2 linked regions of the Coturnix japonica genome follow. The protein of the gene in region 1 binds, or shares a complex with, the protein of each later gene. Links are inferred from orthologs where the notes say so. Each region holds a gene or a part of one and is shown on either strand. Other genes may lie near its edges.

Region 1 (5,563 bases):
CTGCATGTGTACCTCAGATGGGTCTGTCTGCTCAGTTGCTCTGGATGGCTGTCCCTGCTGGCTCCATCCAGCACAGTTCATGTTGGACCCCATTCTAACAGAAATCGCTTCCTTCCTTTCTTCTCCCACCCTCCGTTCCCCAGCTGATAACAAGACGAAAAAGAAAGTAGCTCATCGAGACAGGAAGCAGGACTTCTCTGCCTTCAAGCAGACAGACAGCGAGATGAAGGTTAAAATATCACCGCAGCTCCTCCTGGCAATGCACCGCTTCCTGGCAACAGGCAAGTGTGGATTATCTTGTTTCACAAACGTGCCAGAGCCTCGGAGGCAGTTGGTCAGCAAAGGCCGGTGAGGCGGGTGGGACAGTGCAGTTGGGAAGGGAGGCTGGACTGTGGGGTGACAAATAATGCCACTGTTGTGTTTTTCTTTTTAAATTCTCTCCTCTCCTGTGTTCAGTGTCGGCATGAACCCTCTGAGACATTTACCAGGGGTGGACCAGTAACTTTAAATTGGTCTGAAAGGTAAGGATGAATGCCAAGTGCCGCACTGCATGTGTAGAGTCCGTCAGATTAACGACTAGCAAGCTCACCCCATTAGGAAGAGCTCAGGGAACAAACTGCAGAGGACTCGATACCGCTGGCCAGCTGACTGTAATTGCACTCTGGCACTTCATCCAGAAAGAGATGCTGGATTTTTTGCAGGACGGCATAAGCCTGTTCCATGAGACTTGTGACTTGAAGTGAAAAACTCTCAACACACTTAATGCAGGCTGTGCAAGAGGTTCAACTGTACATTTAAAAGTGGATTTCTTGCTGGCTTGCGTGACCTCCGTTGATGGCTTCAGAGGACAGTTGTCCCCGTCTCACATCACCTTGATGCTTTAGCCCTTGTGTGGGCAGTCTGGCAGAGAGGCCCGGGGCTTGAATGCTGACATTGCCTTTCATCGTAAAGTTGGTCCCTTCACCTCAGGGATGGGACCTGTTAACATGAGAGCCTGTGGAAAGCAGACCTTCCTATTGCTCATGTTGTCTCTCTTTGGCATATAACGACTTCTCAATATGCAGGTCATTCAGACATGCATCTTTCACTTCTATATTCGTGGACTGAAAGTGATAAAGTTCTGTCTCCGGTTGGCTAGCTCAAGCTGGAAATTAATGCTTCCCCTCCTCTAAGATACAGTAACTGTGTGCCTAGATGCTCTCAGTCCACCTTCATGCTTTGTTCTGCCTCTGCAGCTTAAATGTGTGTGTGATCAGTTATTGCATCTCAGCTGGGGGGCCGTCAGTCCTTAAAAGGCTCGGATTTCTGTGGCTCACGTGCACGTGAGCATCTCCTTGGTGAGAGGAAACATTGCTACAGGAAGATGTGGATTTATCAGCAAGCAGAGCATTGTTCACGTAGTTGTATAAGACTCAGAGGAGTTCCCTAAGCACCTGCTCAACAGACATAGTCTTGTAGTGCTGTGTCTCTGCTTGTTTTGTGGATAAGAGAACTAACTGTGTAGCTTCGAACTGCCAGTGCTTCGAAGTGGCACTGCGGAATGAGATGAAAGCTACAATTTTGGGTTATCTGCTCTAGTCTGAGAATAGTGTCTCTAGCAGGTGAGAGGTGCTGGGTCATTAATGGTCCTGTTCTGAAATGAGGCATTAGGAATGCTTATCAGTTTGCATGTGTGAATCTCGATGTCCCTGGTCTAACTCTCACACAAGGATGAGCGTTTTCATTTCTTGCAGCTGTTGTTGGCAATACTGATGATTGAAAAGCTGGTGGGTAGGGAACCTTTTCTGTTGTGTCAGGTATTAATCCCACATGGTTTGAACTGACTTGCACTGTGCATCACTTTGAGTAACTTCCCGTGTGAACCACGGCAGCTCAAATCATGTCTTCAGATTATGCAGAGTATCTATCTAGAGTAACTTTCAAGGCCCCAGACAGTGATTTTTTTTTCTAACTTTTATTTTTTTTAATGCAATAAATACAGTAACTTCAATACATTCGGAGGAAGGAAAAATTACATCCAAAGGTTCTGTGTACCCCAACTGTAGAGCTCTTCCATTTACAACTCTCCAGTGAACCTGTTCAACTGTGACTGCACTCTCACATGGGCAAGACTGCCTTCCTGTGTCTTTTTTCTTTCAGATGAAGACATGCTTTTGGTGGTTGTCGTTTGTTTTATAAATACTTCATTGGGGTGTTCTTGTTCTTTTCCCCTTACAAATTTAACAGTCTTAAGAGACAGGAAGCGTGCAATTCCATAATGGATCTCCCTGCATCTGTGTGTCGTTTATGGGCAAATGCTTATTAATGAGTACTGCTAACTTCTTGCCAGGCGTATGAAGTGTAATGCCTACTTGTATCTTGTGTTATAGAAGTAGAAGCCTTTGGTCCATCCCAGATGTCAGAGAAGATCCTTCTCAGGCTGCTAAAACATCCCAACGTCATCCAGGAGCTGAAATTCGACGAGAAGAACAAGAAAGCCCCAGAACACTACCTCTACCAGCGAAACAAGCCTGTCGACTACTTTGTTCTCATTTTACAGGTCAGACACGTGGTTATGTACTTGATATGTGCAATATTGTGCATCTCCTGACATATCACTCTTGATATCTCTTCCACTTGTTGAAGTTTGTTGTCTTTCAAGTGTGGGACTGGAGCTTTGCTCATGGAAAATGCTTGTCTCCTTCATGATCTTGCCACACTTCAAAGAGCTCATTCAGTTGCTTTTAGCCCCAGTTAAACCTGCTGTGATATCTGCTGAAAGTTATTTGTGCTTTAGGTGTTACAATGCGGAAGAACCCTGGTGTGCAGTTGGCACTGCTTGTAGAACAGGGTATGAAAAGCCTTGTGTCAGTAGGAGCTTGGCCAGGATGCTTTCCCCAGTGGATTTTTCCATTTGCAAAAGGTGCCATGGGGAGTTTGACAGTTTGGGAAGAAGGCATTTCTTCTGTGCAGTTTTGAAGTCCAGAGCCTTTGGTGCTGTGATAAATGCAGGTTTCTGTGGGGCCACTGCACCATCTGCTGTAGGTACAGCCTCCTGCCGTAGCTCTGTGCTACCTTGGGCACCTGAGCTCTCGCTCTGCACTGAGATCATTGCCTTTGGGTGGGTTTAGGTTGCAGCCCTGAGGGAGGTGGGGAAGGACTGATTTCCGTTTGTTCACTATAGGGTCACTTCCAGTGCTGATCATCTCCCAGGGTCCCTTGATACAGAAACTTAACTCCCATCTAGCACTGTTCAAGCAGTAACAGTCTTTTAAATAAGAGACATGTTGCTGGAAAGGTGCTTATGTTGTCTTTGAGGGTAACTGAAATGAGTTTTGGTTATACAGGCAAGAGCACTGCAACTGAAACTGTGGCAGAGGACTTGAAACCTTCCTTTCCATTGCTTCTAACAACAGCAAAATGGTGAGGGTGTTAAACATCATCAGTGATCAACAACAAAGAAAGCACTGGAATATGATGATGTTGATTCAAGATAGTTCTCTTAAAAAAGAATTTGTTGCTTTTTCTTAAAGTGTTTTTTTAACTGCTGGTTCTTGTGTTCCGATTTGTTGCAACCTGAAATATTCCAGAAGCCAGACAGTGCTCCTGCATGAGGTAATGCTGCAAAACTGTAGCTGGAGGACGTGTACGATACAAAAGAACAAATGGTTCTTTCTGAGCTATTCTTCAATCAATAAGTATTTAGTAAAAACACTGTGCTAAGTCTGTAATGCTTTTGGAAAAGGGAGTCATGCAGTAGGGACATATTACAAAAACATTAAGTCTTGGTTCTGCAAGGATCGGTGGATCAATACTCTGCTTCTGTTATTTAAATCATCTGCTCTGGAGCATCTTCTCTCACCTGGAGAGATTGAGAGTACCTTCACAGTAAATGATACCAGAACAGAAGCAAATGTGTGTTTTTTGCATTAAGTTTGCTAGTTTAATCTCTGGAGTTACTGTTGCAGATGGAAAGTCACCTCTTTGCAGCAGTTTTTCTCTTAGCTCCTGGGAAGCTCTTCTGTATTGGTTTGCTTTTGTCATTGTGTTCTTTCAGAATTCCCATTGGAGCATTAAGCAGTACAAACCCAGAAACCAGAGGTGTGTACACTTCAGCAGCAGAGCACATCTCATAGCATACATGGAGAATCCTCACTGGCTCTTCAGCTGCTGTGGCAATGCCAAGCATGTGCAGCCTTCTTGTGGCCACCACTGGGAAGTGCTGTGTGTGCTGACAGCAGCGCTGGAACTGAAGCTCTGCTCTTAGTGCTAGTTACAACCTTGTTGTTCTTTGGGTGCTAACACCAGGCTGACTGTATGTGAAGATCAAAGCCTGTTTGCATATTTGTTTTAAAGACCTGGCCTTGGTTGGTAGGGAACTACCAATTATGAACAGAGTGAGAGCCCTGTTTATAACCAGTCTTTGCCTGGGTGACCAACAGGTATCTAAATATTGGTATTGTGGAGTGAAATTGATTTTAAAAGGGACTACATGAAGTGATTGGTTTTGATAGCAGGAAAGTGGGTTTGTGAGTTAAGCATCCTCTTTCCACGAGGTAGATGCCATTTTTTTCTGGTCTGGAATGGTTAGAAAAACTGACTTGACATGGGGTCACACAGCCTGATTTCTTTCCCATGTTTTTCTGCCCTGATACAGTGCTGTGAAATTAAACACATGTTTAATTAATATTAATTGCTTTTCGAACAGTAAGCACGTAGAAGTAAAAGCTACCTTTTGGACTTGTTTTAACCTGATTGTGTCCATCTGATGGTCAGTTCACTTGGTACATGTAGCGTGGGCAGTCTGTCTGCCCTTTCCATTGCATTGCAAGTAATTATGTTGTCTGCCTAAAATCTCAGCCTTCATGTAGCTCAGCTTGAAAGCTGCCTGAGATGGCTTCTTTCTGCAGTTAGGTCCTGTAATTCTCAGTACAGTACCAGTAAGGATGGAGGGGAAAACCAGATCCCACTAAGAAGCGAGTTATTTCTTACTATTTATATATCAAAATAACTGGGATATTTACTGCTACATTTGATATTGTAGTTTCTCTTCTAGAGTTGTTTGTATGATATCAGTATCTGTTGTTAAATGTTTGGTACAGACCACATCAGAAATGGGTACATTGTGTGGTAGGGTGGTGTGGAGCCTGGGAAGCTCTGAGGGTTTTTCTAAACAAGATCCTTCTCTTTTTGCAGAGTCTTAATTTCAGGGTGCTGGAATATGTAAAAGTGCCAGAAACCAACAAAATCAAAATAGCCCCAGGATTGCTGCATCAGGAATAAGGGCCTTGATTCTGTGGGAATCTCATCGGGGAAAACAAATTCCATCTGAGATGTTGTCTTCCATCTCCATTTCCCATATTCATGTTAGAAAGGACTTGATGTGAATGTGAGCCATGCCCTCAAATGGCTTCTCAAGACCCCAGATGACTGGGTGCATACAAACCTCTTGTGATATTGGCTGAGGACAGGCAGTCTGTCCGCCCTTGGATCATGTCAGTAGTACCATCTCTGTGACCCTACTCTCCCTGCAGGGACTTACAGGCACAGGGACCCAAGGGCCAGAATTGCCCAGGACAAGTAT
Region 2 (6,261 bases), on another chromosome or scaffold:
TACAGGTTAAAGGGAAAACATAGCAAAAAATTATTTGATACAAAACAGAACCAAAACAAATGAACAAAAAAACACCCCATGCAATGACAGAAGATAGATTTTGTAATGCTATTCGGAGACATCTTTTAGCTACCCCTGTTCAGCCTGTATAACCACTGTCAAAAGGGCATCTCGTGATCAGCAGAAAGTTGCCAGCAATGGCCATGACTATAAGGGAAACAGTCAGAGCACTGAACAGCAGGAAGGGCCAGACCTGTATCCCTTCTGCCACTTTCCAGCAATTAAAATGCTAAAATTAGCATATGGCTTAATGAAATGTAAACAATTTCATTTGCACTTGTCTACATTTAGTTTAGGCTGCAATGCCTATCAGACATCAATTTCCAAAGTAAACTGATGAGAGTCAAAGAAAACATTTTATTTATTTATTATTATTATTTATTTATTTTCAGATCAAACATGACTAGAAAGTGAATTATCTATTAACAAGGCCTCCCTGCCTTTTGGGCAGGGCAGGGTGAAAACACCTTATCAACACACTGACACCAGCTGGACCTGGACGTTGTGACTGAACCTTTCTCGTGATGTTGCAACATCACAAAAAATCAGAGCAGAAATCGCTGCCCTCTTCCCCTGCCCTTTGCCAAATCTAGGCCATCTACTCCCTGATATCCTTATAAACATGCATTCCTGATTGCTCTTGAATCCTCATTCACTCATACACTCCCCTTTCCTTCATATCTGCTCCTGCAGTGCACTTTTATTTTCTAAGTCATTTCATCTGATAGTCTTTCAGTTTCACATCCCACAGTTGTATTAAGAAGTCACTTTGAGTTGTGTAAAAGCTTACAGGTCAGATGTCAGAGTCCATTATGGAATATTAGTGTTGCTGTCATAAGTGGTTGGGAAAATTATGCTTTATGAACAATTTCTTACCTGCATATATCAAATTTATCAAAGACATGTTTACTCGCAGATTCTGCTGAATGCAGTTGAGTTGTTTTCACCTCGCTAAGAAAGACTGTTTCTAGAAGTTAATACCAAAACTCCTATTTGTTCTCATCGGGAATAAGTAATTATTTGCAAACTTGATTACTCTTTACTCATTACCACATTAGCTTAGAGAGGGTGAAAGGTCCTTCATGCTGCACCACCCCCTTCCCACTGGGAGCAGACTTCAGCATCAGAAGTGGTAGTGCCAAAGAAAGACACCTGGTTCTCAATGCACCTGTCTGCACTGCTGCCTAACACTAGAAGCACAAAGAAAGCGAAGTCACAAGTCTTAAACGCTAAAGTTCACAGGTGCCTGCAGTCCTGCTCCCAGGCATCCCTAAGATGAGGTATCTTGCTTTTGTTATTGTTACGAGGTATGAAGCCTTCAGCCTTCACACATCTCTTTTCAAAGATGGCTAACAGCCCCTGAGCTGCCATAGACCTAATCCCGACCGGTGGTCTTGGCTACGCTGCTAATATCACTGTGGTTGTATACCCCAAAGTCTCAGCCGACCACAGGATGCAGCTGCACCCCGCTGCAGCCAGGAGCTGACAGCTCACTGCCCCACACTGCAGGGGAGCTCTGTGCCCACTGCCCTGACATAGGAATGCCAGCAGGCCAGCCTGGAGGCCACCATCTGTCCTGCCATTCTGTATGGAACAAGCAGGACCCAGCAGCCGTTCGCTGAACTCAGAGCCCACTTCCGAGCACCAGCCAAAGGCTGCGAGTACAGATGCCGCTCCTTCCCCATGTGGCCTTAAGTTCTCCGGAGTGCGTTTGTGTTAGACATTCGGGCTTTTTACCTACAAGACATACAGACCTTTGGGATTTCCATTTCGAAGAGATTAAACGGCTCCTGCGCTGAGCAGAGGAACGGGGCTGTCGCATCGTGCCGAACCCTGCTACCTCTCTGCAGCGTTTGACCCCAGCGCCTCTGAACAGAGAAAGTCAAGTCAGAGCAGCACGAGGTGTTCGGTGCCTCACGCCTTCCTGCCGGCACACAGCACGGCCCACATCCCCCGCCGTGCCGGCAGCTGCCGCCCTGCACGGCGCTTCGCCTTTAAGAGCTCGGTGCGGCGCCCCACGTGTGCGATCAGCTGATCGCGACGTCGCTCGGGGCGGGGCGGGGGCTCCGGCCGCTGCTGCGGAGCGGCGGGGCGCTGCGGGCGCGGGGCGGGGGTTGGTTGCGCTGCCGCCGTGCGCCCTCCTTCCCTCCTTCCCTCCTTCCCTGCCTCCCGTCTCCTCCTCTCCGTCCCTCCCGGCTCCTTCCCTCGCACCGAGCCCTCCGCGCGCGCAGAGCAGCGGCAGTGACAGCCCCGCCGTGCAGCGCCGGCGCCCCCGCAGCTCCCTCCCCCTCCTCCGCTTTCGGGGCGCCGGCGGCCGATCCCCCCCTCGGCTCCGTACCTGGCGGCTCCGGCCGAGCCCCCCCCGCGGCCGTTCCCTGCTCGCCATCGGGCAGGAAGCGCCGTTCCCCGGCGGCGGGGCGCGCTGTCAGCGGGCGGCCCCGCGGAGCTCCTCGGCGGTCCATGGATTACCTGGTAGGTTCACCCCCACCCCCTGCCCGCGGGGTGGGCGCGTCCTCCGGGGCGTGCGGCCGCCCGCTCATTTGGCCGCTATTAGATCGCTAACGCCGTGACCCGGGCCGCGGCTGCGCTCCTAAATGCACGGGCGCGAGATACGGTTGAATGAGCTAAATTGTCACCGCGGGCACAGCGGCGTTTATGGCTCCTTAATGAAGATTGGCCTTACCGGCCGCCGAGATCCTATCGGGCGCGCTGCCGGCGGGGTCGCGGCGAGGGGCGGCGGCCTCCAGCCAGCGCTGCACCTGCGGGCAGCGGGACGGAGCGCAGGGAGCGGGCTGCCCCTTCCCTGTGCTTTCCCTTCCCTGTGATGAGTGAGGTGGAGAAGGTGTCCGTTTGTCCCCCTGCCCGTCTGACTTAGAGTTGCTCAGGGACGTTCACACCGACAACAACTCTGCGCTTTCCTTCCTGAGTATAGCAGAACAGAAGGTGAGCCCTACCTGGCAGGCAGGCTGCTCTTTAAGAACCTGGTTAATGAAACACTGATAATAAACTGCTGTGCACCAAATGCAGCCTTGCAGCTCCATAAGGGCCTGTTCCTGTTCCTTGGGTTTTTCCTTTATAACTTATGTCCAGATGGAACTGGCCGTAGTGTACTGTTTGCAGTCAGCGTGTTAATCTTCATGGCTGCCACCTGCTGTGTGGATGCCCAGCCACCTGAGAACCGTGCATTTAATAAGACTTGGTCATGGGGAGCGCATTCCTCTGTTCACTGGAGGGAGGCAGGGGTTGAGTATCTCTGCGTTGCTTTTTTCCCTTGCTCTTTCTACCCTGTTAGTCCTCTTCCTTTTCTTTTTTTCCTTGCTGTTTTGTGGGCTTCTTTAGTGCTGTCTCTTAGTTAAAATAAATAAATAAAAAACATAGCTGTGGCCTCAGTCTTCATGAAGTCCTTGCTTCACGTTTCTGTTGCATCAGGGAAGGTCTTTGGCGCCAGGCTTATCCCAGGCCTGATATATCACATAGTGCCATGTGAGATGTAGGGGCTTGCTTTGCTGCAGGAGTTGCTACAAATCAGCTGTTTTTATAACAGGAAATACAGCATTGGGAATGACAGCTTGAGCAGGCTGCTGGTACCTCGCAGTTCAGGTGTCTCTGTCCATCCCTGGCCACCAACTGTGGCCGGGGTTAACATCACTTCTCATATGCAGGAGGACTCCCTTGGAGCTTTGGGATGCTTGCTGCAACTGGCATCCACACAGCTGTAGACCAAAACAGAAAAGAAATTCGGGACACTTTAATTCTTATGACTGTGTACTACTTGGAATGAAAACAAACTCTGTTGAACAGTATTTTCTCATAGTTCCAGTACTTGTTTTTGCCATCTGCAGGAGATTGGTCCTCCTTCCTTTCTCTGTTAATGGCAGCAAATTGAAAGGCTCTGGCAGAAGGAGTTGGTGGGGTGAGTGAGGAACATAGATCTTTACAGTCCTGGAGGACCACAGGGCTCCTACAGAATACCTGTTGCTCTGATGGGCCCACTTCTCATGCAAGACCAGCAGGAGCAGCAAGGACATAAACTGTTAGGTGTAGAACCTACATGCCCTGGTTATTTTCATGAAAATAAAAGTGGTGTATGTTAAGAAATCTTTGAGTTATTGAGCTTTATGCATTTATGTTGGTGTCTTTCACCTGTGTAGGCTTCAGCTGCTAAACAGAATATCGCTTGCTGGTTCTTCCCATTGGATGCACATGTTGGAGCCTTAGGGGATCTTCCTGCCTGTGCAGTGCTGCTCTTCCTGGCTGCAGGAAGACAGTTTTGCTGGTGAGACAGGGAGCTCAGCAGAAGAAGGCTGGGACATCTGAGGTCAGAGTGGCTGCAGCATGGGCTTTGGGGAGCCCTTAGCATGGAGTTTGCCCTCACCTGTCACTTCCTATACTGATGTAGGACTCTCATTTTCCTGGTATCTCAGGATGAGGCCTGCTCTGGTGGAGGGTTTGTTCTTTAAGGAGCTGACGCTGAGAAACACTGAATGGATAAATTACTGGTATTAGGTGAGCATCTTCTGCTGTGCCTGGTTTGGCTTTGCATTGTAACAGAGCAGTCTAAAGTATCTGGAAGAGGTCCTTGAGCCTTTTGTATTGGTGCAATTACAGGGTTAGGAGTAGTGTTGTTTCTGTGTTCTTATTTTAATAGGCATAGATGAGCCAAGTTCAACCTTCAGAAGAAAAAAACATCTTCACTCTCTTAAAGGTGGACTCCTTTAAAACCTCCTGTGTGAATGCAGCTGCATGAGCACACAGCAGCAAGAGTTCTGTGACTACCTAATCCTGCAGTGTGTCTGCAACCATCTTCTAATTCATTCTTGCTGCTCTGTGTCCGGAAGAATTACAGTGCATACACAGACTTGTGTTGGCTGGCCTATGTTCTGTAGACTATGCTTAATTCATGACATTATGTCATGATGCATCTTGTGAAAAGTATGGCTTGTAGCCAGTCTGACCGTATTTGCTTAGAGAACCTGTAGGGAAACAGTGGCAGTGCTTCAGTTTTCATGTGTAGTACTTGCAGTACAGATCTTAAGCTGATGAGCAGACTTTCACAATACATTTCTTTAGTGGCATCCTCTGCATTAGATAATGATCTTACACTAAACAGTTGCATGTATCAGCCTGATCTGTGATGAGCCTTTAAAAGCTGTTTTAGGGGATGATGTAGCAGTTAGAATCAGTGTGGGTTGAGGCTGGGGAAAGTTTTTACATTGCCCTGATAGTTTGTAAAATGTGTAGGTTGCTCTGAAAGTAGTGCCTCGTATTTATTTCCATAGAGATGGTAACAAATAAGAAGAGCACAATAACACTGCTTGAGAGAGCACATTCTCAGCTACAAAACACTGTTTTTCAACACTTTGGCAATGATGAACAACAGTCTGAGCACCATGCTTGTAAAAATCTGCATGGCCATCCAGAATGTGACTTGTCTTTCACATCACTGTTACCACTGCTGAAATGCACCACCCATCACCTCACTGTGCTCACATCCACTGCTTGGTCTCCATAAGTGTTCAGCAAGCATCAGTGAATGTCAGTGGGTGCCATTTTTTCCACATGGAGGAATTCAGTGACACACCTTTGCTCTACACACACCTCCATCTGTGACACCATTTTGCCAGAGCGTCCCTCTGCTGCCATCCATCATACAGCAACAGCACTTAATGGGATATTGGTGGGAAGGTTCAGCCCTTACTGCCCTACCACCAGCACCTGCCTCTGTTTTGTGGGCCAACACCATAAAATAGGATGCATTACTTCTTGTGCTGCCCTCATCAATAGAAAGAGGAGTAGAGTGATTTTTTTTTTTTTTTTTCTCCTGGTTCGATATGAACTCTTAAAATTTGTCTGTGCCATGGACCATCCAAAGCACATGCTGCTTATACAACCAAACACAAGCATGAAATTCCCTTGAAGCCTCTACTTTCTCTTCTCCCTTGCTGCCAGGATAGCACTATCAATCTTCATTTATGAGACTCATTATTGACAGTGTGCTGAAAGATTACTTCATTCTTAATTGCTTCAAACTCTTGCATCTGTGTTGCATATGAAATCAAATAATGGTAGACTAGACAGTAGTCGCTGTAAAAGCTAGTAAGAATGTGGGAAACAAATACTTCTTTGATCAAAAATCTCCAAGTTGCAACCAGGAGGAAAAAAAGAAGAAGAAGAAAAAAAAAGAAACGAAGAAAGATCTGC

Evidence for each region. Proteins that work in one complex are often made in the same cells at the same time.
Region 2: the proteins of CNNM2 (region 1) and ARL15 are in contact, whole or in part, in a crystal structure (PDB 8F6D), measured with the Homo sapiens proteins. The link is inferred for Coturnix japonica from reciprocal best matches to the Homo sapiens genes CNNM2 and ARL15. Residues at the interface, in NP_060119.3 of Homo sapiens: Asn490, Val492, Pro521, Leu522, His523, Phe524, Val525, Phe526, Thr529, Glu537, Lys542, Ser543, Gln549; in NP_061960.1 of Homo sapiens: Tyr92, Ser94, Arg95, Gln98, Gln128, His129, Pro130, Gln131, Cys133.

Annotation. Positions count from the first base shown.
Region 1 is NC_029521.1:20,566,189-20,571,751, forward strand, and holds part of CNNM2 (metal transporter CNNM2), read left to right. Parts: intron 1-143; coding exon 144-281; intron 282-2,369; coding exon 2,370-2,539; intron 2,540-5,563.
Region 2 is NC_029547.1:17,990,553-17,996,813, reverse strand, and holds the start of ARL15 (ADP-ribosylation factor-like protein 15), read left to right. Parts: upstream 1-2,121; 5' UTR 2,122-2,520; coding exon of another isoform or gene 2,521-2,532; intron 2,533-6,261.